7 linked regions of the Macaca mulatta genome follow. The protein of the gene in region 4 interacts with the protein of the main gene of each other region in a pairwise test. Links are inferred from orthologs where the notes say so. Each region holds a gene or a part of one and is shown on either strand. Other genes may lie near its edges. The genes, in order: RNF126, REG1B, SPP1, BAG6, KLHL12, ATXN2 and TAC1.

Region 1 (2,719 bases), on a different chromosome or scaffold from region 4:
GGTGGGGGCTGTGCTGGCGTCCAACCCCCCGGGTGTGTGGCTGGCAGGCCCTGGCGTCCGTGGCTCTGGGAGCCCTTTCCTCTGTGCGGGCAGCAGCGTGCCATTCCCTTCTGTGAGGGCCGGGCCGGAGGGGAGTGCTGGCGACCTGTGCAGCCGCTGACCTCCCTCAGCCTTGGCGACTGATCTGGTGACCCAGGCCCTCCGGGGAAGGGGCCACGGGGGCCCCACCCACATCCTCACGCTCAGGAGGTTGTTGGTGTCTGCACTGGTTTCCAGAGAAACCTGTGGTTTACTGGCGAGGGAAGAAGCGGCAGGTTATGGTACCAAATGCAGGGGCGGTGGCAGGTGGGAAGCAGTGCTGAGGACAGTGCCACTCTCCCAACACAGGCTTTTGAGGGGAGGGAGCGCCTGGCGCATGGGGACACGGGGCAGCCAGTGCTGCTGACACTCACTGTCTTCCCAGGAGCACAGAAAATGGTTCTGCCCCCTCCACAGCCCCCACGGACCAGAGCCGGCCACCACTGGAGGTGAGTCGCCCACCCCTCGTGCTTCCTGATCCTGTCGGCCTTGCTCAGGGCCCCGAGCACCAGCCTGTCCCCACCTTGCCTCCCTGGGCTCTCCCTGCCCGTACGGCAGAGGACATCCATCCCTCCAGGGGCCCGGGCTGGGTTTGGGGTGGCCCACGCTGCTCAGTTGGGGCTGATGAAAGTGAGACTTCGTCAAGGCGGCTCACACCAGCCAGGCAGGCTCTGCCCAATTCCCGCCTCCCTCCCACCCAGCACCCAGCAGGGCCCGTCTTGCTTTCTCTTTTGTCTTTGTGCCCTAGTGCCCCCAGCAGACTGCACCGGCCTGAGCCCCGAGGTCACGCCCCCTCCTCTCCCCTGCACCGGCCTGAGCCCTGAGGTCACGCCCCCTCCTCTCCCCTGCACCGGCCTGAGCCCCGAGGTCACGCCCCCTCCTCTCCTCAGCACGTGGATCAGCACCTGTTCACGCTGCCGCAGGGCTACGGACAGTTTGCTTTCGGCATCTTCGATGACAGCTTCGAGATCCCTACGTTCCCTCCTGGGGCTCAGGCTGATGAAGGCAGGGACCCTGAGAGCCGGCGGGAGAGAGACCATCCGTCCCGGCACCGGTATGGCGCCCGGCAGCCCCGCGCCCGCCTCACCACGCGGCGGGCCACCGGCCGGCACGAAGGCGTCCCCACGCTGGAAGGGTGAGGGGGCCCCGGGGGTGGCCGCGAGGGCCCCACGCCGTGAGGTCGGAAGTTCTGGTGCTTAGAATTCAGCAGCACGTGTTCCACGGAAGTGTGGCGTCATCCGAAGGCTCTCTGGAGAGGCCGCCCGGCCAGGTGCTCCAGCCCCGTGACCCCCACACTCTCTGAGAGCCTCGGTCTGTGACCCACTGGGAGTGGGGGCCCCACACAGCCCTTCAGAGACAGAAGTGTGCTGGTCCAGGGCGTGTGCATTGACCACAGAGCGGGGCGCAGCGCGCCTGCCAGGCCCACGTACTTTGGGGACTGCTGTTCACATGCGTATCATCAAACACCGTCCTGCCCTTGGGCCTGGACCAGAGCCTGGGCGAGCCTTCACTGGGCCCCCCTGCTGGTGGAGCAGAGCCCGGGCCTCCCCTCTCCTGGCGATTGATCCTTCTATGGTTGTGTGTCTCACCTGCTGGAAATATCATCGTTAAAAGTGGCTGATTTTGCCGCACGGTGGCTCAGCGCTGTAGTCCCAGTGCTCTGGGAGGCCGAGGAGGAAGGATCCTTGAGGACAGGAGTTTAAGATCAGCCTGAGCAACATAGGGAGGTCCCGTCTCTAATTTTAAAAAACTAGGCCAGGCGCGGTGGCTCAAGCCTGTAATCCCAGCACTTTGGGAGGCCGAGACGGGCGGATCACAAGGTCAGGAGATCGAGACCATCCTGGGTAACACGGTGAAACCCCGTCTCTACTAAAAATACAAAAAAAACTAGCCGGGCGAGGTGGCGGCGCCTGTAGTTCCAGCTACTCAGGAGGCTGAGGCAGGGGAATGGCGTGAACCCGGGAGGCGGAGCTTGCAGTGAGCTGAGATCCGGCCACTGCACTCCAGCCTGGGCAACAGAGCGAGACTCCGTCTCAAAAGAAAAAAAAAAAACTAGTCAAGGCCGGGCGTGGTGTCTCACACCTGTAAGCCCAGCACTTTGGGAGGCTGAGCAGGCAGATCACTGAGGTCAGGAGTTTGAGACCAGTCTGATCAATATGATGAAACTCCATCTCTACTAAGAATACAAAAATTAGCCGGGTGCAGTGGCGCATGCCTGTAATCTCAGCTACTCAGGAGGCTGAGACAGGAGAATCACTTGAACGCGGGAGGCAGAGGTTGTAATGAGCCAAAATTGCGCCCCTGCCCTCCAGCCTGGGCAACAAGAGCAAAACTCCATCTTAAAAAAAAAAAAAAAAAGAGCTGAGAGTGGTGGAGCTCTCCTGTGGACCCAGCTGCTTGGGAGGCTGAGGCAGGAGGATCACCTAAGCCCAGCAGGTCGGGGCTGCAGTAAGCCAAGATCGAGCCTCTGCTCTCTTGCCTGAGCATCAGAATGAGACCCTGGTTCATAGTAAAGTAAACAAATAGAAGCTAATTTAGAAGTTAATGCTGGTCCTGCCCTTGGTGCTTACCACGGACCTGGGCAGGCCTGGCGCCTCCCAGTGCGTGGGGCGGCCTCACCCCATGACTGGCCCCCTCTGTT
Region 2 (4,261 bases), on a different chromosome or scaffold from region 4:
CATGTTCATAAGCCCGACATACATAAAATGTGAGTGGGGTTTTAACAAGCGGATGGGCCGGGGCAAGCTCTGGAGTGTGACAATCATTCCCACCCCAACCACCCAAGCATGGGCTGTAGAAAGAGCAAATGCAGAAGACAGAACAATGGAGAAAAATATGTTTGTTTTTATTTTTCAGGGCTCTACAGACTGGGATGGGTAAAGGTACTGAAGATCAGCAATGCAAACTCATTAGGAAGGAGATGGTCTGAATGGAGTTGGAGAAATAGTCTAGTTTAATTTTTGACTTTGTAGTAATTGCAGGAGTGGTTCTAGACATCCATTTTTCAGCTGCCTCTAGTTTTTGAACTTGCAAACAAAGGAGAACTTCTTCTCACAAGATTCATCCTTCCATTTCTTGAATCCTATAGAATAATGAGAAGAGTCAGACAGAGAGGATCAGAAGGAGGGTAGCCCCTCCTCGATCTAGGACTCAGAACAAAAAACAAGAGGAAATATTCCTTTATTTTCCAGATAAAGAGCTCACCTTTCCTCTATCCCAGTTCCCATGTTCATCCCCAGAGAAAAACGGGAGGGAAATAACAACAGATGGATAGATTGTCTGCCTCTCACCTGAGCATGAAGTCAGGCTTGCACAGTAGCCAGCATTAGCACTGCTTGGGGCTCCAATGTCCCAGGATTTGTAGGAGACCAGGGACCCACTGCTCCAGTGCCAGCGGCGGTTCTAGGTGGAGAAGGGTCAGAACAGGGGCCATGGTCACTCAAAAATCAATAGAATAACCAGGCCTGTGTGCACACTCAGAAACAGGCCAAGATATAGCAGAAAGAATAATCATTGTTGTCACCATGAATGTCGTATTATTTCCTCTGCTTTTGCTCCTTCTCTGGAATGTCCAAATTCCTCCTCCTCTTCCAGCAAATAGTAAGTGTTCAGAGTTTGATACAGAGACCCATAAAAGCCCATTACAGAGAGTGGTTCTGATCTTTTTTCCTGAAGCTCAGAACTCTCATATACAACATAACATTGGCTGTAGAGTAGTTGTTGATATATTGTTTAGTTTAACACTTATAGTGTTAAACTAAACACTTACAGTGTTAAACTAAATAATATATCAACAACTACTGTACAGTTTTATACATTTGTATAAAATGTATAACAAATGCCAGCAGTAGATTTCTCCTCCACTACTCTTTTCCTATACAGTCTACAGAGGGACCTCTTCCAAGACAGACAATAGCAAAATAGGGAAGAAGTTGTACATAAAGATGCATTTCCAAAAGTTGACACAATGAGTGTGTGCATGAATTCCCAGGAGCCCAGAAAATTCAGCCTTCAGCTCATGTCTCTAACTACCTACACTGAACTTCACAACTCATACATTATAGGATCTATAAAGAGGTTTCTTTTGTTTAGAAAAACAAAAAGATAAAAGTTGGCGCTCGAGGTGCCAGACCTTAAACATCCCTCTTACCTCTCAAAAATGTTTATAAGGAGATAGAGGAGGCTGCAGACTGACCTTTTTGGGGTCATGGAGGCCAATCCAGACATTGCTGTCATCAGTGCTACTCTCCTTAATCAGTGAGGCCACGAAGGCACCCTCTGCCTCGGTGAGCACAGATACCAGGTTGCCTGAATTCATGTTCTGGCAGTAGAGCTGTAGGTGAAGAAAATGGAGCACTCAGTGGAGGAGGAAGGTGTGAAGGATCTACTGAGATCTTCCAGAGGATGTAACAGAAAAAGGACAGCACAGAAATGTCCCTGGTGACGCTGTCACTGACCACCAGTATCTCTGTGCTAGGAATGTGTTAAATAATGGGATAAAGTAGATTGGGAAGTTTTGGACCAGTGGTGGAATAGGGAAGGGATCAATCTTATCTCATTGCAGCCACAGAACACACTGCAAATTAGCAGCTGCCACTACCTTCATGAGCCTCCCTTCCCCTGCTGCTGTCCTCACTCACATCTGCATCAACCCAGGTCTCAGGGTCTTCATTAAAGTAGTAGCAGTAGGAGCGATAGGCATTGGTGCCTTCTGGGCAGCTGATTCGGGCATTAGGCAGCTCTGTCTGGGTCTCCTGGCCTGAGGGAAAAAAAGAGGTAATTAAGAAAGACTCTCAGGGCAAGGAAAAGGCTGGAAGGTGAATTAGGGGCTTTTCAGTTTCCGTTATAAGAACATACTGATACAGTGTGTACTGGAGTGACTCCTTACTTCTGCTCCCTGCATCCTATCTCTTTTTTTTTTTTCTAGTTTCCTCTGCTCAAGACAAGAGCTTGTAATGAATAGGCTAAAGAAATGTGTCCTCGTTTTCCCTTTTATTTCTGAGGCTCAGGCTTCTGCCTTTAAAGACCCAGTCTTCCACCTTTCTCAAGTTTCTCTTGATTTCCCTGTACATGTTTGCCTTAGCTCTCCATCCTATTAATGACTACATAAAAACATCCAACTGCCATCACATATAGATTCAATTAGATAAACTCAACCACAATGGTCACCTATAAGTGGTCTTATTAAATTCTGTCTCAAACTCATGAATGAAATGAGGATGTTTTTGAATGGGATGAGATCAGCCATAATGATCAACCTCTGATGTTGACTCTGCTTTTTTTCAAGTGAACCCTATGCATGAGGATGGAGGGAAGACTTCAGAGCTGGGGTTGTGGGAGGTCTGGGGGAAAAAATCTCACCTTGGCTCAGAGACAGGAACATCAGGCAGGAGATCAGCATGAAGCATGAGTTGGTCTGAGCCATGCTGAGCAGCAGTGAATCTCTTGCTTAAGGAGCAAATCAGCAATCTCTGTAGGAGAACACAGGGAAGAGGGTTTGAAGAAGAGAGCAGAGCCCCTATTATCTTTCTAACATCCTCTCCTCTTGGAATTCCTGTGACCAGGAAGGTCCACTGAGATAGCTACACTCGCAGATATTTCTCTTTTGGTTTGGGGATAACAGAGGCCAAATTACCCAAAATCAGCTTTGGTTTTGCTTAAGCTTCATTACTACCGGGATCTTTTATTCAGAAAATCACCCTGTATCTACCTCAAAATGAAGAGAAAATCCCATGTTAGACATGCTCTTCTCCTGTAATGCCCCCTTACCTGTTGGTAAGTGCCTTGTCCACTTGAGGTGGCTTGTCAGGTCAGACAGAGTAGGAGCTTTATATCAGGGTCTGAGAGAAAACCACATGATATAAACAGTGGGTGGAGCAAGGAGTAAGGGTCAGAAGGCCTACAAAGGGCACTAACAGTAAGAGATTCTGGCATCAGGAATAGCTTATTACTGGCACACATTAGGAGTGGTCACAAATGATATCAACTTACCATAAACAGGTTAGTAAACTGTCCAAGTTGATGTTGGGCTTTGTCCTTCCCCCACAGCATCCACGTGTCCAGTTCCCATGGCCTTTAGCCATCCTAGAAAGAGCAGAAGGGTAGATTTCTTTGTGCTATGTAAATATGGGATGATCCTTTCTTTGGTTTAGATGTGGGTAGGGGTAGGGGAAGAGTCAATTGAGTGCAAATGATTAAGCCCAATTAGCTGGTGGCTTTAAGTCATTTCTCCATTCCCTTTCAGGCTCAGGAAGCTCTCAAACCTACTTCAGAAGGCAAAGTGTATTAGTCCATTTTCACACTGCTATACTGCCAGAGACTGGGTAACTTAAAAAGGAAAGAGGTTTAATTGACTCACTGTTTAATTGACTCACAGACTTTCCTGAGGCTGAGGAGACCTCAGGAAACTTACAGTCATAGAGACGAAGGGGAAGTAAAGCATGTCTTACATGGTGGCAGGTGAGCAAGAGAGAGTGAAGAGGGAAGAACCCTTTATAAAACCATCAGATCTTGTGAGAATGGACTCACTATTGTGAGAACAGCATGGGGGAAACTACTCCTGTGATCCAATTGCCTCCCACTAGGTTCCTCCATCCACGCATGGGGATTATGAGGATTACAATTTGAGATGAGATTTGGGTGGGGACACAGAGCCACACCATATCACAAGGTTTAGTAGTTATGTAAATTTAAACCAGCATTTCCAGCAAGGTTTGAGTATAAGTAGCTAGCAGGCTACAGATGTTCTCAAAGTCCAAGCAGGTGGGAACTACAGGGAGGTGATGCCTAAGTAAGCTCAAAGTAGTGGAATATGAAGTTGTTGGTTTGAAGTCAATCATCTGTTGTTGTGAAGTTACAGATAGTGATGGAAATTAAACACTTACTGAAATTCCCATTAAAAATCCATTCAGATTCAGGGAGCAACAGCAAATCTGGAAT
Region 3 (2,439 bases), on a different chromosome or scaffold from region 4:
TTACTAAATTCAATGATGTAATAGATACAGACACATAATTATGAGACTTTTTAAAATTTGAAATGAGATTTATCAAAAGAGAAGAGTATCCCTATTTTAATGTGTGTACTAAAATCTATAACCCCTTTCCTATTAGCATGAATAATTGAAAGGTGACTGTTATGCATGTGTGTATAAACTGCAGCTCAAAACTGTCCTTGAATTAAACAATTAATGTCCATTAAATTTCAGATTGACAAATATATTGGGTAATTTAACTTGATTTAATATTCTTAGTATATTCAAATTGAATCTTAAGGAAAATAAATTTACTCTTTGCTTAGCAAATATATGAATGATCCTAATAAAAAGAATAGTTGTCAAATAAACTATTTTATTAGGAAAGAGAACTTTCCTAAAGGCAAAATCTTAGCTTTGATAGGCATTAATTAGATGCTTATTAGATATTTGATATCTACAAAATACCTTAAATAAATTGCAATCAGCTTAATGTTTCAAATAACAGGCATTAATGAACATTTTCTGTAATGCTAAACATATCTGAGGAAACCTAGTATTTCTGATATTTAGTAAATACATGTTTTCTTTCTGAGCAAGTTTTAAAGACTGCCAATTTACTGGAAAATTAGCTAATGAAATTTCATCAGAAGAGAATCCAGGCAATGGCTTCTTTCGTTTCTTCAAGGTATGATGGGCCTCTGATTGAAAATGAGAACTTACCTCTTGTTTAAAGTCATTGGTTTCTTCGGAAGACACAGCATTCTGAAGAAGGAATGGCACATGTTAGTGTGCATCACACATGCCTAGCTTTTTTATTCAAAAGTTAACCTTTTTAATCCAAAGCAGTTTTTATTTTTCTGCCTCATCTGTGGATGGCTTAACACGGGAAGAAGCCAACATGGCAGATCAGTCAATGTCCTAAGCACATGCTTGCCAGCGGGCAGGCAGGATTCATCTGAGCAGCCCAAATGGCCTGCTTGTAGCTATCTTTCATCGTTGTAGTTTAATTATGAGAAGTTTAAAAATACCTGTGGGGCTAGGAGATTCTGCTTCTGAGATGGGTCAGGCTTTAACCATGTGGCCACAGCATCTGGGTATTTGTTGTAAAGCTATAAAAAAGTTGCATGTTTATCATTATTAAAAAAAGAAACGTAGGGATGAATGGAAAAAACAACCATTCTTCACCAGTCTTGATGGATAAGCATAATATGCATGCATATAGTCACTCAGACCCTTAGGTACCTTTTTGTAATTTTTTTTTTCTTGCAGATTCATTTAATACACTCTTATGTAGCACTTAGTGTGGGCTAGGCACTCTTTCAAATTGCTTTACAAATATGAACTCATTTGATCCTCTCATTCCCCTATGAGATGGGTATCATTAATATTCCCACCTTACAATCAGCCACAATGCAGTTAAGTGGTAGGAAATGACAGAGCCAGGCAGGATTCAAACGCAGGCAAACTAGCTCTTAACCCTGAACTTCACACTATGCTTTCTTTTTGTATGTTTGCTGGCTGAATTTTCCTCTCAGATAAAGCACATCTAAACCAGACGTGCCTTTAATTACTGTTGATCTTCACTGTGTCCAGTCCATGGAACAAGAAGGAACTCTCTAAGGCTGTGCTGTCTAATACAGTATACTCTAACCACATGGGGCTATTTACATTTAAGTTAATTAAAATGAAATGGCCGGGCACAGTGGCTCACGCCTGAAATCTTGGGAGGCTGAGGCAGGCAGATCATGAGGTCAGGAGATCGAGACCATCCTGGCTAACACAGTGAAACCCCCTTTCTACTAAAAATACCAAAAAAAAAAAAAAAAAAAAAATTAGCCGGGCATGGTGGCCGGCACCTGTAGTCTCAACTACTCGGGAGGCTGAGGCAGGAGAATGGCGTAAACCCAGGTGGCAGATCTTGCAGTGAGCCGAGATCGTGCCACTGCACTCCAGCCTGGGCGACAGAGCGAGACTCCATCTCAAAAGAAAAAAAAACGAAGAAATAAGATAAAAATTCAGTTCCTCAGTTGCACTAGGCTACATTTTGAGTACTCCATAGCCATATGTATCTGGCAGCTATCTTACCAGACAATGCAGAAATATAATATTAAAATCATTGCACAAAAGTTCTATAGCTCTAAGGTGCCAAAGATGTAAATGAAATGGATTTTTCTTTAGCCAAGTTATTTATCTGGAAAATACTGATAATATGCTACTGCAGAGGAGTGGAAATTGCTCTGTGTAAGTGTCATCTGATCTGCTGAATCATTCAGGGCCAATCATTACATGTCCCTGTCATTCAGAATAACTCTGGGGGTTGTACAGAGTCCCTTCTGCAGCCACCTAAGGGGTGGATGGGTAGAGAGAAAACCAGTCAGAAGTATTAGAGTTTCTCTCATGGCTGGCTCTAACCAGAGGGGCTTCATACTGGGCTTCTCT
Region 4 (2,299 bases):
GTGATCTGCCCGTCTCGGCCTCCCAAAGTGCTGGGATTACAGGCTTGAGCCACCGCGCCGGCCACCTCCAAACCTTTCTCCCCCAGCCCTCCACTCCACATTATCTGGCCCCTCAACCTCCCCCTCTCCCGAGTACCTGAGGCTCAGGGGAAGCTCTTTCTGCTCCCTGAACTTCCATTGGCTCCTCAGGAAGAGGCTGTGAAATTAAAGAACAACATATTTTGGCTGGGCACGGTGGCTCACGCCTGTAATCCCAGCACTTTGGGAGGCCGAGGCGGGCGGATCACGAGGTCAGGAGATCGAGACCATCCTGGCTAACACGATGAAACCCCATCTCTACTAAAAATAAAAAAAAAAAAAATTAACCGGACGAGGTGGTGGACGCCTGTAGTCCCAGCTACTCGGGAGGCTGAGGCAGGAGAATGGCGTGAACCCGGGAGGTGGAGCTTGCAGTGAGCCGAGATCGTGCCACTGCACTCCAGCCTGGGCAACAGAGCTAGACTCTGTCTCAATAAAAAAAAACAACAACATATTTCCTCTCAGATCTCTCCAGTTCTCTCAAGTACCCTGACCCCACTGCCCAACAGGTCCCTTACCTGGGGGGGATCACCAACCCTGCGAACGTATCTGAGAATGGCATCAGGACCTACGGGCATGTGCTCCAGTACCACCTGAAGCCTCAGTCCCATCATAGTGGTCAGCCAGCTCACCAAGGAGGGATTCACCCCGCGAGACATACGACGCTGAGGGGCAGAAAGCAGATTTAGAACATAAAACCCTCAACCACCTTTCCTAATATATTAGATCTGGGGTATAGAACATCAGTTTAGAAAACAAAAATGAAAACTGCAGCGAATGGAAACCTCAGGAAACAAAAGGCTAAGGACCTGGGGCTAGGTGGTGCTTACAATTCGGCCATTGATAACAGCAGCAAGCTCCATCTGCTGTCCCCCCAAGCAATGCAGGTTCAGGGCCAGGCATTCAAACAGGCCTTGGTTACACAACTCCAGCAACCGGGCCCCAAATCCACTATCTGTGGGCAAAACACAATGAGGGAATGCTGGCACATGGCAGCCCTGCACATCCAACAGGCCCCACTTGCCCCAGCCTGGCCAGCCACTGACCTGTGCAATGCAGCACATGAGCAGCAATGCTATTAAACTGCTCTTGGAGAAATTCCAGGTTTGTCCGGATGATGTCCACACCTGGCTGAACCTGCACCAAGGACTGAGAGACAAGATACACAAAAACAGGAATCGTAAGACTGGGAACGGAGGAGGCAGCTGCCTTGACCAGACCCAGGAGAGGAGGGGAATAGAGAAGGGTTACTCACAAAACTCTCCCGCACATACTCTTCTAGACCCGTGATCAATGTGTGGGTTGCCATCTGCGGAGGAAACAGAACAGGTTTAGTTCAAAGCCTCGGTCCTCCCAAGACTTCCACCTTGACCCCAACAAGTCCAGGGCTTGTGTGGGGGCAATTGGAGCTTTACCTGGCAGAGAAGCAGTCAGAAACAAGGAATAAAATGTGCAAAGGAGGAGAGCTCTGGGGCCCCTGGCCTTCATTTACCCGGATGTTACTGGGGGTGGGCTCCTGACCACCCAGGTAGTGTTGGTGGAAGAAGGATCGCAGCTGGGGTTGCAGCCGTTGTAGTGGCTGAAAATGCCCATGGAGAAGCATCACTACGTCCACCATAGAGAAGTTCTGGCACAGAAGAGAGAGCAGGGCCCCAAAGAATCCTGGAGGACAGGGGCAGATGTTAGCAATCGCCTTTACCACCTGGCTTGCCCACCCACAACCAGGTGTCAACCTCATCCCACCTTGGCAACACCCCTAAACCAAGGCCATCTACCTTCCTCTGGCTGCCCCTTCCTGGAGCAAGCCAAAGCACCCCCTTTTGCTCACCAAGGGCCCCATCAGCTCCAGGCTCAAAGATGTTGCTGGATCCACTGAGGCGTTGTATGAAGGCAGCAATACTTTCACTGCTGCCAGCCCGAGCCCCCAAGGAGCCCAGCAGGGAGCTCAGCACACCCTGCACCACTGAGGTAAAAAACTCCGGTGATAGGCTCTCAAGGCCCAGGCCTCCAGGACTCCCTGCCCCACCAGAAGGGGAGCTTGGTGGGGGCATGGTCTGCTGCTCTGGGGCAGGTTGTGGGGGTGGAGGAGGTGGGGGTGGTGGAGGGGCTGTCTGTGTTGCCTGGCAAATAGAAAAGGAACAAAGAACAGAAGGTTGAGGTGAGAATGCAGATAGGGAAATAATACGGCATCAAGAGGGCACAAACATATGGGTCTGGGAAG
Region 5 (3,977 bases), on a different chromosome or scaffold from region 4:
CTCCTCATCCCTCTGGTACTCACTTAAAAATTTTTAGACTTTAGAAGGAGAAAAGGCCAGGTGCAGTGGCTCACACCTGTAATGCCAGATGTGGCCACTCTGGGAGGCCAAGGTGGGAGGATTGCTTGAGCCCAGGAGTTCAAGACCAGCCTGGGCAACACAGTGAGACCCTGTCTCTACAAATAAATACATAAATAAATAAAATTAAAAACAAAAAAAGGAGAAAAATTGGAAAACAAATTTAAGAAATAGTAAAATCCAATAGCTGACATTTGTGTTTTACTGCATATTAAACTACTCTAAGCATTTTGTACGTTATTTCATAAAATAATCTTCACAATAACCTTAATAACCAGTTATTACATATTACTGTTATTCCTAACTTAAAGATGAGGAAACTAAAGCATAGTCATCTAAGTGGTAGATCTTATCCAGAATCTGCCAAAACATCACACTGTAAAAATTCACAATTATATCAAAGTTCTACTATTTTATTCAGTGAAATAAGACAACTAGAGTACCACGGGAGTTTCATTTGTGTGGGGCTAACTTATCACTTACCTCACTAGTGAACATGGCACAGAAGTAATCACTACAGGCAGCCAGCACAATCCGATGGGCAGGGAAATCCTTCTGCTCTACTCTCAATGTCACATCACAGAGGGTATTGCTCTTCCTGAGGGAGTTCATTGAATTGAGGATGGATTTAGCATGAGTATTTGTCATTATGTCTTTGGGGGCCATAATGCCTCCCATAAAGCAGTGCGGAGAAAAAACAAAATGGGTCCTTGGATTCTGAAGCTACAAGAGAAAAAAAACAATGAGCATATTCAAAGAACTAGGGAAACTGAACATATTTAATTAGTTTTACAAATTAAGAACCTAAGAGGCTTCCCTCAGACCCAAACAGACACAAGTTGAGGGCACTCCTATGCCTGGCATCACCACCACTATCTAGCCACTATCTAGTACATGTAAAAGTTCTCTCTTCTTTCTCTGAATTCCTCTACCACGGAGTGTCCCTACCACTTGACATTTATTATGATCAATGCTGAAACGTAAGTAGAGATAAACAATATATGTCCTGTAAATCTTCACAAGGTTCTTGTCTCAAATGACAAATTGAAAATATACAATTTCTTAAAGGTGTTATATCATTACTATTTAATATCCTTAAGTAGATAAGTATTTAGAGGCTGAGGATCCTGCTTTATATGTATGCTTTCTATCCTAGAAGTTGCACAATGAATGTTTACAATTTAATGTAAGAATAAGTGTGTATTCAACTTCAACTTAGAGAGAGAAAGGCCAGTCAGTAAAAATAAACTTTTTTCTAAAGAAGTAGCCAAATAATTATGTCTGATGACTTTCAGCTATATCTGGATTTCTTCTTAAAATGAAACTTCAGGCCAGGCCCAGTAGCTCACGCCTGTAATCCCAGCACTTTAGGAGGCTGAAATGGGTGGATCAGTTGAGGTCAGGAGTTTGACACCAGCCTGGCCAACATGGTGAAACCTAGCCTCCACTAAAAATACAAAAAATAGCCAGGTGTGGTGACGCGCGCCTGTAATCCTAGCTACCAAGGAGGCTGAGGCACGAGAATCGCTTGAACCCAGGAGGTGGAGGTTGAATTGAGATGAGATCACACCACCGCACTCCAGCCTGGCAATAGGGCGAGACTCTGTCTCAAAAAAAAAAAAAAAAAAAGAAAGAAAGAAACTTCAATTGACCTATTACCCTAACTGAATAGTGGAAACCACGCAAGTTACCGATGGACTTACACTTGCTTAAGATATTGAAGCTCCTCAACAAGAGGGTATTCCTACTCTATATCTGTAAATGTCCATTACTGGTTAACGAATCAATATTGGAATCCAAAACTTTCTGAAACGATCCGGCGGGGCGGGGGTAGGGGGACGGCAGGAAATAAAACTGTGGTCTCCAGAAGTTCGCAACTCACAAGTAATTTTTCAACAGGAAAAATGAGATCCTAAATTCTCATCTACTTCTGTTTATAGTTGGCATTTTACTCTATAAGCACTATAGATAATCCCTCCAACAACTGCATGACCCATTTTGCAGAAAAGGGGGTGATTCATCAAAGCATATGTTTTTCAAAAAGACTTAAGTCAACTTAGTTTCAACTCTAGGGGTGCAAAAAGAGTCTGGAACAAACGTCCATTTACAGTGAAGACAGCCTGGGGGGTGTTTTATCGTTTCCGTGCCAAAATGACAGTACCCCTAGTGCAGAGTGGCCTTCCTTCTAGGGGATTCCTGCCTCAACACTCCAAGTCTCAGCATATCCTTCACCCTCACCCTTCTGAAGTGACCTATTTTCTAGAACTTCCGTTAACATCTGAATAGAGGGATTCCACTTCGGGAGATTCGGGGCAGGAATGGGGTAGTAAATTCCGGAAAGACTACATTCTAGAGAAGGAAACGAACTCCTTCCTTCTGATACCACCAGGCATATGACCGGCGCCGCCAGATGGAGGTATCGCAGGGGGGCAATTCAGGGGAGAGTTGAGAGGGCGACTGAGGCCAGATGCCCCGCCCCCCCGCCAGCCTTCCTCCTCTCTCCGGCATGTCTCCCATTCCGCCTTACAGGGAGACCAAGGATGGGGGGTAGGGCCATAACCCGGAGTTGACGGACAGGAAGGGAAGGGCTGACTGCCATCACTTCCGCGCAACTCACCTCCGCTCCCGAGCCCACACAGCAGCGCCGGGCCCGTCCCCAGCCTGTGGGGATGGAGTGGGGCGCGGGGCCAGCAGGCGGCTCAGGAAGAGCCGAAGAGCCGCCGCCGCCGCCCCCACCCGGAGGCTCTGGAGGCTCTGGAGCCGTCCAGGTCTGGTCCCTGCGGCCGCGCGACGTGATGACGCAATGCAGCTGGAGCACCGCCCTCCTCCCGCTCGAGTCTGCGTCACGTGAAGAGGTGGTGTCACGTGACCTGCCTGTACCCTGGTGCCGGGCCTCTGCACGTTGCTAGGAAGCCGAATTAGAAAAAGGTCTGGTGGGCAGGGCATGGTGGCTCACGCCTGTAATCCCGGCACTTTGGCAGGCCGAGGCGAGCGAATTACCTGAGCTCCGGAGTTCCACACCCGCCTGGGGAACACGGCAAAACCCCGTTTCTAAAAAAAAAAAAAAAAAAAAAAAATTAGCCCGGCGTGGTGGCCCCGACTGTAGTCCCAGCTACTCGGGAGGCTGAGGCAGGAGGATCACTTGAGCTAGGCGCAGAGGTTGCAGTAAGCCAGAGTCGCCACTGCAGAGACCCTGTTGAAAAAAAAAAAAAAAAAAGTCCGGGCGTGGTGGCTCACGCCTATAATCCCTGCACTTTGGGAGGCCAAGGCGGGTGTATTACTTGAGGTCAGGAATTTGAGACCAGCCTGGCCAACATGGTGAAACCCCATCTGTACTAAAAATACAAAAAACATTAGCCGGGCGTTGTCGCACGCGTCTGTAATCCCAGCTACTCAGGAGGCTAAGGCAGGAGAATCGCTAGAACCCAGGAGGCGGAGGTTGTAGTGAGCCGAGATCGCGCCACTGCACTCAAGCCTGGGCGACCGACTGAAACGCCGTCTCCAAAAAAAAAAAAAAAAGAAAAAAACAAAAAAGGCCGGATGTTGTGGGGTCCGGCAGGGAGCCTGGGAATGTATCTACAGCTCAGCGACTGTCTGAGCCTGAGTTCCTCCCTACTGCTCACGAGGCAGGGCACACAGAGAGAATTCCAACGCTTAATATGCCAAGCATCTGATTGCAGCAAGTATGTTTTACCTTCCAGGTACTGAGAAACTTTTTGACATCGAGAAAACCCACAGAGGCCTCAAATTTTTTCACGTCCATTGTCCACAATGGCCTTTTCGTGCCGAACAACGCTGCGGCGATAATCCTCTGAGCCCTGCGACCCACAGACCTCAGTATATACTCTGCATCATAATGGTCCCTGTCATCACCGCTGAATTGATTCTAAGGAAATTCT
Region 6 (3,500 bases), on a different chromosome or scaffold from region 4:
TGGAAGAAGGACTACTAATTTTTCTTTTTAGGGGACTAAATAACCTCAAAGAAAGTAATAAACCTACCTGAGAGAAGGAACGTGGGTTGAACTCCTTTGCATTAGGATTCAATGTTGATTTCCTAACTTGCCTAAAAAAAAAAAAAAGGCCAGTGAAATCTACATGGACTTTATGTTGTTCTAAAATCTTCCATACCTGACAATTTAAAAAAAACTGCTAGGCCGGGCGCGGTGGCTCAAGCCTGTAATCCCAGCACTTTGGGAGGCCGAGACGGGCGGATCACAAGGTCAGGAGATTGAGGCCATCCTGGCTAACATGGTGAAACCCCGTCTCTACTAAAAATACAAAAAACTAGCCGAGCGTGGTGGTGGCGCCTGTAGTCCCAGCTACTCGGGAGGCTGAGGCAGGAGAATGGCGTGAACCCGGGAGCCAGAGCTTGCAGTGAGCCGAGATCGCACCACTGCACTCCAACCTGGGCGACAGGGCGAGACTCCGTCTCAAGAAAAAAAAAGAAACACTGCTAAACATAGATTTAAACTGTTCTCACTAGAAGATCACTAATCCTCTTTATTGAAACATACGCACTTATATTGCCAATTCCTTAATCCCTTAAAGAATATAGTCATAAAAGAACAATTTTTTAAAAATCTGAGTAATATACAACTGCTCCTCTCAAAGGCAATCAAAAAATACTTTATTTTCTCCTTCAGAGTCCCACTCTGTTGCTCAGGCTGGAGCGCAGCAGTGCAATCTTGGCTCACTGTAACCTCTGCCTCCCCAGTTCAAGCAATTCACCTACCTGAGTCTCCTGAGTAGCTGAGATTACAGGCGACTGCCACCACACCCAGCTAATTTTTTTTTTTTTTTTTTTTTTTTTCCCCAGTAGAGATGGGGTTTCACCATCTTGGCCAGGCTGACCTTAAGTGATCTGCCTGAGTCAGCCTCCCAAAGTGCTGGGATTACAGGCGTGAGCCACCACGCCTGGCCAATCAACAAACACTTGAGCTGAAAAGACAGTAGCTACTTATAAAATATCCTTAAAAGCACTTCTTAACATACCAGTATTCTTTTATTATTATTACTTTTTGAGACAGAGTCTCGCTCTGTCACCCAGGCTGGAGTGCAGTGGCATGATCTCGGCTCACTGCAGCCTCCACCTTCCGGGTTCAAGCAATTCTCCTGCCTCAGCCTCCTGAGTAGCTGGGATTATAGGCACCTACCACCATGACTGGCTAATTTTTGTATTTTTAGTAGAGACAGGGTTTCACCATGTTGGCCAGGCTGGTCTTCAACTCCTAACCTCAAGTAATCTACCTGCTTCGGCCTCCCAGAGTGCTGGGATTATAGGTGTGAGCCACCAGTCAACATACCAATATTCTAGCATGAAGTAATTTTTATGTGAGAAGATATTATCTACATAACATACCTGCAGAAAATCATGGCTCTAAAAAAAATTTGCCTCAAATCAAGAATAAGCAGTCCCCAATTTATCAATAAGCTACATTCCAAAACTTTAGCTTTAACTGGATTGTTTGGTACCCAGAACACCTAAGTCAATGGTAGTTAAGTTCTGAGGTTAGCCCCTGAAAGTCCATTTAACAAATATATGGAATGTGCAGAATTAAGTCTATTTTAACAAATCTAAACATTAACTAAAACACTGTTTCTGATGAAAAATATTTTGAATTCCAAGTAGAAGCATCGCATGCTTCTCTCCTTGACAGTGGCAGTTTTTCATCCTAGCAGCACAGTGAGGGTGACTAATGAGTGGAATCCAGTAAAGATAGGTCTCCTGAACTGATAATTTTTCAACTCCTGTTCATTTACAGAAAAACTTTTCTTAATTTATGCCTTGTTTTTCTAGCCCTGGGGTGCAAAAAAGGGGAAGAACAAGAGTAGCACAGGGTGCAATAACCTAATTTACTTAAGATGTCATTTGTTTGGACTAGCTGTTTGTAAACTAAGGGCAATGTATGAAGCAGTCTAAAAGTCCAGATGGATTCTTCACAGTTGGAAGGACCTAAATGCCTTTAAAAAAAAAAAAAAAAAATTAACTGAGTAACAGGATGGTCTAAGTTCCAGGTTTACTCACTCAGCTGCGTCTTTCTTCTCTTCCTTATCATCTTTCTCTTGTTTACATGCTGGACTGGAAGTCTGAACCCCTTGGGAAGTGACCTCAGGTCCCCTCTTGTGCTCCGTGTTACTAAGTATTGAAGGGGAAATGCTGGGGCTATTCGGCTTGCTGCTGCCACTGGTACAGTTGCTGCTGCTATTTTCAGTGAAAGAATCCTTAGCACTTGGTTCAATTTTGTCTTTGATCAAATCTCTTGATTTTTCTGCCTCTCTATTTTTGTTTAGTAGTTGATCCATAGATTCAGAAGTAGAACTTGGCTGTAACTAAATAAAGGAAACAATTATACTTAAATATCTTAAATAACTTTAGTAATCCATTTTTGCCATGAGCACAAGCAAAGTAATATTAACTATATGCATGAAATGTTTTGAATAAGGCTTTTTTCATACTTTAAGAGTAATGCTTTTACTATAAAGTAACAATAACAGAATACCTATATAGCACAACCACAGTTACCAAAGCACTCAAATGTCTTAGCCTCTAAAGTTCAATATTTACTGAATGCCTACCACATGTCAGAAATTGTGCTTGCTGGGTGAGAAAAATATGAAAAAATTTCTATCCTCCTATACTTGTCATCTAAATAAGATCAGACACTTCACAACAAAATGAGTAAATGCTAAGAGATTCTATAGAAAAAACAACCTATAAAAAAGAAAGGTTTCTTAATGGAAGTTTCAGCTAGTCTAAGGTGTGAAAGAAGTTTAGGAGAGGTGTTTGGGATGGAGAATAGTCTAAGTAAAAGGAGGAATATGTTTAAAAATCCAAAGAAAAGAGAGAAGATGGCTCTATCACATAAAAGAATAGCACCAATGGGGGCTGGGCGCAGTGGCTCATGCCTGTAATCCCAGCACTTTGGGAGGCTGAGGCAGGCAGATCACGAGGTCAGGAGATCGAGACCATCCTGGCTAACACGGTGAAACCCCGTCTCTACTAAAAATACAAAAATTAGCCGGGCATGGCGGCGGACGCCTGTAGTCCCAGCTATTCGGGAGGCTGAGGTAGGAGAATGGTGTGAGCATGGGAGGCAGAGCTTGCAGTGAGCCGAGATCACGCCACTGCACTCCAGACTGGGTGACAGAACGAGACTCCGTCTCGGAAAAAAAAAAAAAAAGTAAAAGGATAGCACCAATGACCCAGGCACAGTGGCTCATCACTGTAATTCCAGCACTTTGGGAGGCTGAGGCAAGCAGACTGCTTGAGCTCAGGAGTTCAAGACCAGCCTGAGCAACATAGTGATACCCTGTTCTCATTAAAAAATAATAATGATAATAAAATAAAATAAATAACAAAAATAAAGAAGTAAAGCAAAGCACCAATGGCTGGACCAAGGGTGGGACACACATGTACAAGTGAGTCAGAAAA
Region 7 (4,271 bases), on a different chromosome or scaffold from region 4:
TGATTTCAACTAGTAAACTGCGTGGGGAGGAATTAGGAGGCAATGAGAAATATTTGAATGCTAACTGGATATTTAAGGTAAGGAATTATTTTATGTTGTTTTAGGTGGGAAAATGGTATGGTTATGTTTTTATTTTTTTAAATGCTTACCTTTTATACAGTGATGCTGAAATATTTACAGTTGAAATGACTAAATGTCTGGGATTTTTTTTCAAAATAATTTGAGTGCAGAGGAAACTGGAAGGGTTGTAGATGAAACCTGGAAGTGGATGTACCTCTCTACTTTTGGAGATGCTGATAATTTTCCATATAAAAGTTCTGAAAACAGAAAATAAAATGCTCACATTGTGAGGCTAAGGTCAAAAGAAATCAGAAATGCATGAGAATTTCCAAATCCAGGGTTATTTAAGAACAACATAGAGGAAAAAATTTCTGGTTTAAGTTGCAAAAATGTGTTTCTTTTATACAATATACTAACAAATCATAATTAACTGAAAAATGTAACACTTTATATGTAAAGGGAAGAAAACTACTCCACCAAAGATGCCGCATTCATTTAGAGATCAAAGAAATGTGTCTGCCAGGCAACCAAGGGCTCATGGAAAGCTGTGGTTTGTGTACAAATGCTATTTGTCTAATATTTTGTGCGTTAATGACTGTCCCATTAGCATCTTCACTACACTTATTTTCATAGAAAGGAGAAACATGATTTATAGAGCCCTTTAGTGACAAGGGTGAGGATCCTATACATTATGTTGCTGGTTTCCTAGTCTTCAGCAAGAAAGTGTAGGAGAGAAGCAAAAAAAGTCCTGTTTCAACCCCTGCTCCTGGATGTGACAAGGAAGAGGAGTTACCCAGCTTGAAACAAAAGAAATCCTAAGTCTGACACACAATGTCATGTTTAAATTCCCCTTTCTCCAAAATGTAAAATAAATGTGCTTCCATCTTCTAAAATACTATGGGACTAAACAACCTTTTGTAATGCTAAGGAAATGCCAGTATTCTCATTGATTTAGGAGAGGGATGTTCTGGTCATAGAAAGATGCTGTGTCTCAGAAACACTTAAATACTCTTAAGCTAGAAATAGAGGGGAAAAGAATGCCTCCCTGCATCTCCCCTCAACTGAAGTCCTCCTTTCTTAGCCTGATTTCCGATGAAATGTCTGAATGCCTACAGTTACTTGGCCATCCTCAAAAGTGCAACTTATCCTGACGTCTCAAGGGACGAAAAAGTTACCGAAGTCCAAGGAATGAGTCACTTTGCTCAAATTTGATGAGTAATCTCAGGTGTCATGAAACCCAGTTTCAAAGGAGAGGGGAGGGGGCGTCAGATCTGCAGACGGAAGCAGGCCGCTCCCGATTGGATGGCGAGACCTCGATTTTCCTAAAATTGCGTCATTTAGAACCCAATTGGGTCCAGATGTTATGGGCATCGACGAGTTACCGTCTCGGAAACTCTCAATCACGCAAGCGAAAGGAGAGGAGGCGGCTAATTAAATATTGAGCAGAAAGTCGCGTGGGGAGAATGTCACGTGGGTTTGGAGGCTCGAGGAGGCTGGGATAAATACCGCAAGGCACTCAGCAGGCGAAAGAGCGCGCTCGGACCTCCTCCTTCCCGCAGCCACCGAGAGTGCGGAGCGACCAGCGTGCACTCGGAGGAACCAGAGGAACCCAGCACCCCGCGGGACTGTCAGTCGCAGTAAGTACCCGCGCAGTGCCGGCCGCGGCTGCCCGGGTCACTCCACCCCGCATCTGTCCGAGGTGGCCGCGCTGGGCGCGCCGCTGCGGCGAGGGACAGTGGGGAGACTGGCTTCCCAAACGCCAACGCCCCTCTTTGTCTTCCACCTGCAGAGTTTCCTGGTTTGAAGGTGTGGGTTGGTGGGTTAGAGGGCTGAGGGAGTTGGGATTCAGGGAGAAGAGGGTTGGAGAATCTTTGGGACGCGATTCTCTCGCCTAACGGGTGCAGGTGAGACTTTAGTCCTTGTATTTTTGATCTTAGTTCATCCGTTGTGGGGCAGAAAATTCTGTTGCTCTAACTCTTGGATAACCACCCCTAATAGATATATTATTTCTCTCTTTGGTCTCTTCTCCCACTACCCCTTCCCAGAAATTCAACATGAAAATCCTCGTGGCCTTGGCAGTCTTTTTTCTCGTCTCCACTCAGCTGTTTGCAGAAGAAATAGGAGCCAATGACGATCTGAATTACTGGTCCGACTGGTCCGACAGCGACCAGATCAAGGTGAGGCCCCTTCCCAGGACAGCCCGCACCCTTCTTCCTGGGCTCGGGAGCTGTCACCTTCCCACGCAGCAGCACCCTAGTTAACGTGGCAGGCACCGCGACCACGACGAGAGGCAGCGGATGCGTGCGGGAGGATGGAAAGGGGCGCTATTTCCCGGGTTCCTCACGGGATTTTGTGCCCACGATTCAAGTTTCTTCCCGAGGGCTGCACCGTCCAGCCCAGGAACTCCCTGCAGCAGGGATGCCCTCCCGGATGAGCCCGAGATCCCCACAAGATCATAAATCTCGTAAGCTTTCATCCCTCAGGAATGGGGATTTCGGGGGCTCCGGTCCAGCTGCACTGCCCTAGCGTCTGGGCACGGGCAGAGGGCGCCTTGGTCGCGGGCAGCAGCGGGCACACGCGTGAGCTGCAGGGGGATTGGAGGGCCGGAGGCTGGAGGGAAGTTAATTTCCTGCCTTCACGTTTGTTTTGCGGACCTGAGGATGTAGCTTGAAGTTTCCCTTTAGAAACTCGTAGGCTACTGGCGCTGGGGAGCGCGCCTCGGGAAAAGGGTGAAAGTCGTCTATAAAACGTTGTCACCCTTTCCCACCGCAGCCCCAGCCCCAGATCACACACACCTGTGTGCATTTAGGGTGGTGAGGAGTCTACAAAGCCGACACCGAGACAAGACAAAGTCAGGTGGCGGCGCGGCAGATGAGGGAAGGTCCCCGGGCTGGGAGGAAAGAACGGAAAGCGCTCGAGGCTTGAAGACGCCGAGCCAGCTGCTAACTCGCCCTGGCAGGCTTGCGGGGGACGGGACGCGGGTTCGGCGAGGAGGGGCGCAGAGAGGGAGCGCCTCGGGAGGTACCCCGCTCAGCCCGAGCGTGGGGAAGGCTGCCTCCGCCCGCCTCGGGGCCGGAGTACAGCGGGAAGGGCTCGGGTTGCTGGGTGCCTCGCTCCGGTTGCCTTACACGCCCTTTGTCCGTGCTTTTGCCCCCCAGGAGGAACTGCCTGAGCCCTTTGAGCATCTTCTGCAGAGAATCGCCCGGAGACCCAAGCCTCAGCAGTTCTTTGGATTAATGGGCAAACGGGATGCTGGTGAGATGGGCGACCGTCCCTAGGTGTCTTGGGCAGCCCGTCCTGTCTGCTCTCTCCTTCTCGGAGTACCCCAGGGTCTCTCGCTCTGAATAAAGATTTCCACTCCAACAGGGGTGTAACCCAGGCGCGACATTGGCCCACACCGCACTAAGGCGCGCACGGGCCCGCAGGGGGAGGGAAAGATCTGGTTCGCATGCCTCACTGTGTTCGAGTGAAGCGCTCCCTTGACTAAAGATCCAAACTGACAAAGGGAAGACACGGGCCTCCAGGGGTAGTACTGCGGTTGATTCAAGTGCATGTGGAACAGGATTTTGTAGCATTCCCTGACATGAGAGTAGATTTGTCTTGGGATAGAAATATTGTTTCCTTGAATTTATCGCACCGTCAGTGGAACATGTAATGACAATTCGTCTCTTGTCAGATTCCTCAATTGAAAAACAAGTGGCCCTGTTAAAGGCTCTTTATGGTAAAGATTCCTATAAATCTTTATTTTACTATTTTGTAAAGCACATGTAGGAAAGTGAAATAAAATCTTTTATGGGCTGAAATACAAGATCTAGATGATGCCTGTTTAATAAAGAGATGTATTTGCATACTCTCTCTCGATCTCTCTGTCACTCCCTTGCTGTCACTCTCTCGCTGTCACTCTCTCTCTCTTTCTCTCTCTCTCTCAATGGGTGGCCAGTCTTGAAGGTGGGAAATACTACAGTCTTATAGTCAATAAGAGGTCTCAAAAGTCTCATAGTCCTAGGTTTGAATCCCATAGAAGGCACTTAATAAAAATTCCATTTGTTTGTTTAAATATTTAGTTTTTATTATTAATAAGTTGTTTAGCATTTATGGTTCTGCCTTATTCCTCAGGATAATATATAGATAGAAAATGTTACATATTTTGATAATCAAATTATTTTATAAAAGATATAATGTAGCATCTTTAAAAACAAATGTATATGTGT

What was found.
Region 1: the proteins of BAG6 (region 4) and RNF126 interact in binary tests that used the Homo sapiens proteins (3 or more experiments, as listed by UniProt). The link is inferred for Macaca mulatta from reciprocal best matches to the Homo sapiens genes BAG6 and RNF126.
Region 2: the proteins of BAG6 (region 4) and REG1B interact in a two-hybrid assay, tested with the Homo sapiens proteins (2 studies listed by BioGRID and IntAct). The link is inferred for Macaca mulatta from reciprocal best matches to the Homo sapiens genes BAG6 and REG1B.
Region 3: the proteins of BAG6 (region 4) and SPP1 interact in binary tests that used the Homo sapiens proteins (3 or more experiments, as listed by UniProt). The link is inferred for Macaca mulatta from reciprocal best matches to the Homo sapiens genes BAG6 and SPP1.
Region 5: the proteins of BAG6 (region 4) and KLHL12 interact in binary tests that used the Homo sapiens proteins (3 or more experiments, as listed by UniProt). The two-hybrid records come from large-scale screens. The link is inferred for Macaca mulatta from reciprocal best matches to the Homo sapiens genes BAG6 and KLHL12.
Region 6: the proteins of BAG6 (region 4) and ATXN2 interact in binary tests that used the Homo sapiens proteins (3 or more experiments, as listed by UniProt). The link is inferred for Macaca mulatta from reciprocal best matches to the Homo sapiens genes BAG6 and ATXN2.
Region 7: the proteins of BAG6 (region 4) and TAC1 interact in a two-hybrid assay, tested with the Homo sapiens proteins (2 studies listed by BioGRID and IntAct). The link is inferred for Macaca mulatta from reciprocal best matches to the Homo sapiens genes BAG6 and TAC1.

What each region holds. Positions count from the first base shown.
Region 1 is NC_133424.1:1,305,434-1,308,152, reverse strand, and holds part of RNF126 (E3 ubiquitin-protein ligase RNF126), read left to right. Parts: intron 1-463; coding exon 464-527; intron 528-968; coding exon 969-1,213; intron 1,214-2,719. UniProt on the Homo sapiens protein: E3 ubiquitin-protein ligase that mediates ubiquitination oF target proteins. Depending on the associated E2 ligase, mediates 'Lys-27'-, 'Lys-29'-, 'Lys-48'- and/or 'Lys-63'-linked polyubiquitination of substrates.
Region 2 is NC_133418.1:45,548,946-45,553,206, reverse strand, and holds REG1B (lithostathine-1-beta precursor), read right to left. Parts: upstream 2,801-4,261; 5' UTR 2,748-2,800; coding exon 2,684-2,747; intron 2,082-2,683; coding exon 1,963-2,081; intron 1,656-1,962; coding exon 1,518-1,655; intron 725-1,517; coding exon 613-724; intron 405-612; coding exon 337-404; 3' UTR 147-336; downstream 1-146. UniProt on the Homo sapiens protein: Might act as an inhibitor of spontaneous calcium carbonate precipitation. May be associated with neuronal sprouting in brain, and with brain and pancreas regeneration.
Region 3 is NC_133410.1:97,302,919-97,305,357, reverse strand, and holds part of SPP1 (osteopontin precursor), read right to left. Parts: intron 1,110-2,439; coding exon 1,029-1,109; intron 763-1,028; coding exon 721-762; intron 241-720; exon of another isoform or gene 1-240. UniProt on the Homo sapiens protein: Major non-collagenous bone protein that binds tightly to hydroxyapatite. Appears to form an integral part of the mineralized matrix. Probably important to cell-matrix interaction.
Region 4 is NC_133409.1:150,681,240-150,683,538, reverse strand, and holds part of BAG6 (large proline-rich protein BAG6), read right to left. Parts: intron 2,199-2,299; coding exon 1,907-2,198; intron 1,741-1,906; coding exon 1,571-1,740; intron 1,388-1,570; coding exon 1,334-1,387; intron 1,228-1,333; coding exon 1,125-1,227; intron 1,034-1,124; coding exon 909-1,033; intron 744-908; coding exon 597-743; intron 197-596; coding exon 137-196; intron 1-136. UniProt on the Homo sapiens protein: ATP-independent molecular chaperone preventing the aggregation of misfolded and hydrophobic patches-containing proteins.
Region 5 is NC_133406.1:60,591,088-60,595,064, forward strand, and holds the start of KLHL12 (kelch-like protein 12), read right to left. Parts: upstream 2,801-3,977; 5' UTR 2,696-2,800; exon of another isoform or gene 2,668-2,695; intron 839-2,667; exon of another isoform or gene 802-838; coding exon of another isoform or gene 757-801; coding exon 562-756; intron 1-561. UniProt on the Homo sapiens protein: Substrate-specific adapter of a BCR (BTB-CUL3-RBX1) E3 ubiquitin ligase complex that acts as a negative regulator of Wnt signaling pathway and ER-Golgi transport.
Region 6 is NC_133416.1:118,688,554-118,692,053, forward strand, and holds part of ATXN2 (ataxin-2), read right to left. Parts: intron 2,399-3,500; coding exon 2,094-2,398; intron 132-2,093; coding exon 68-131; intron 1-67. UniProt on the Homo sapiens protein: Involved in EGFR trafficking, acting as negative regulator of endocytic EGFR internalization at the plasma membrane.
Region 7 is NC_133408.1:121,646,605-121,650,875, reverse strand, and holds the start of TAC1 (protachykinin-1 precursor), read left to right. Parts: upstream 1-1,471; 5' UTR 1,472-1,697; intron 1,698-2,105; 5' UTR 2,106-2,114; coding exon 2,115-2,237; intron 2,238-3,218; coding exon 3,219-3,315; intron 3,316-3,736; coding exon 3,737-3,781; intron 3,782-4,271. UniProt on the Homo sapiens protein: Tachykinins are active peptides which excite neurons, evoke behavioral responses, are potent vasodilators and secretagogues, and contract (directly or indirectly) many smooth muscles.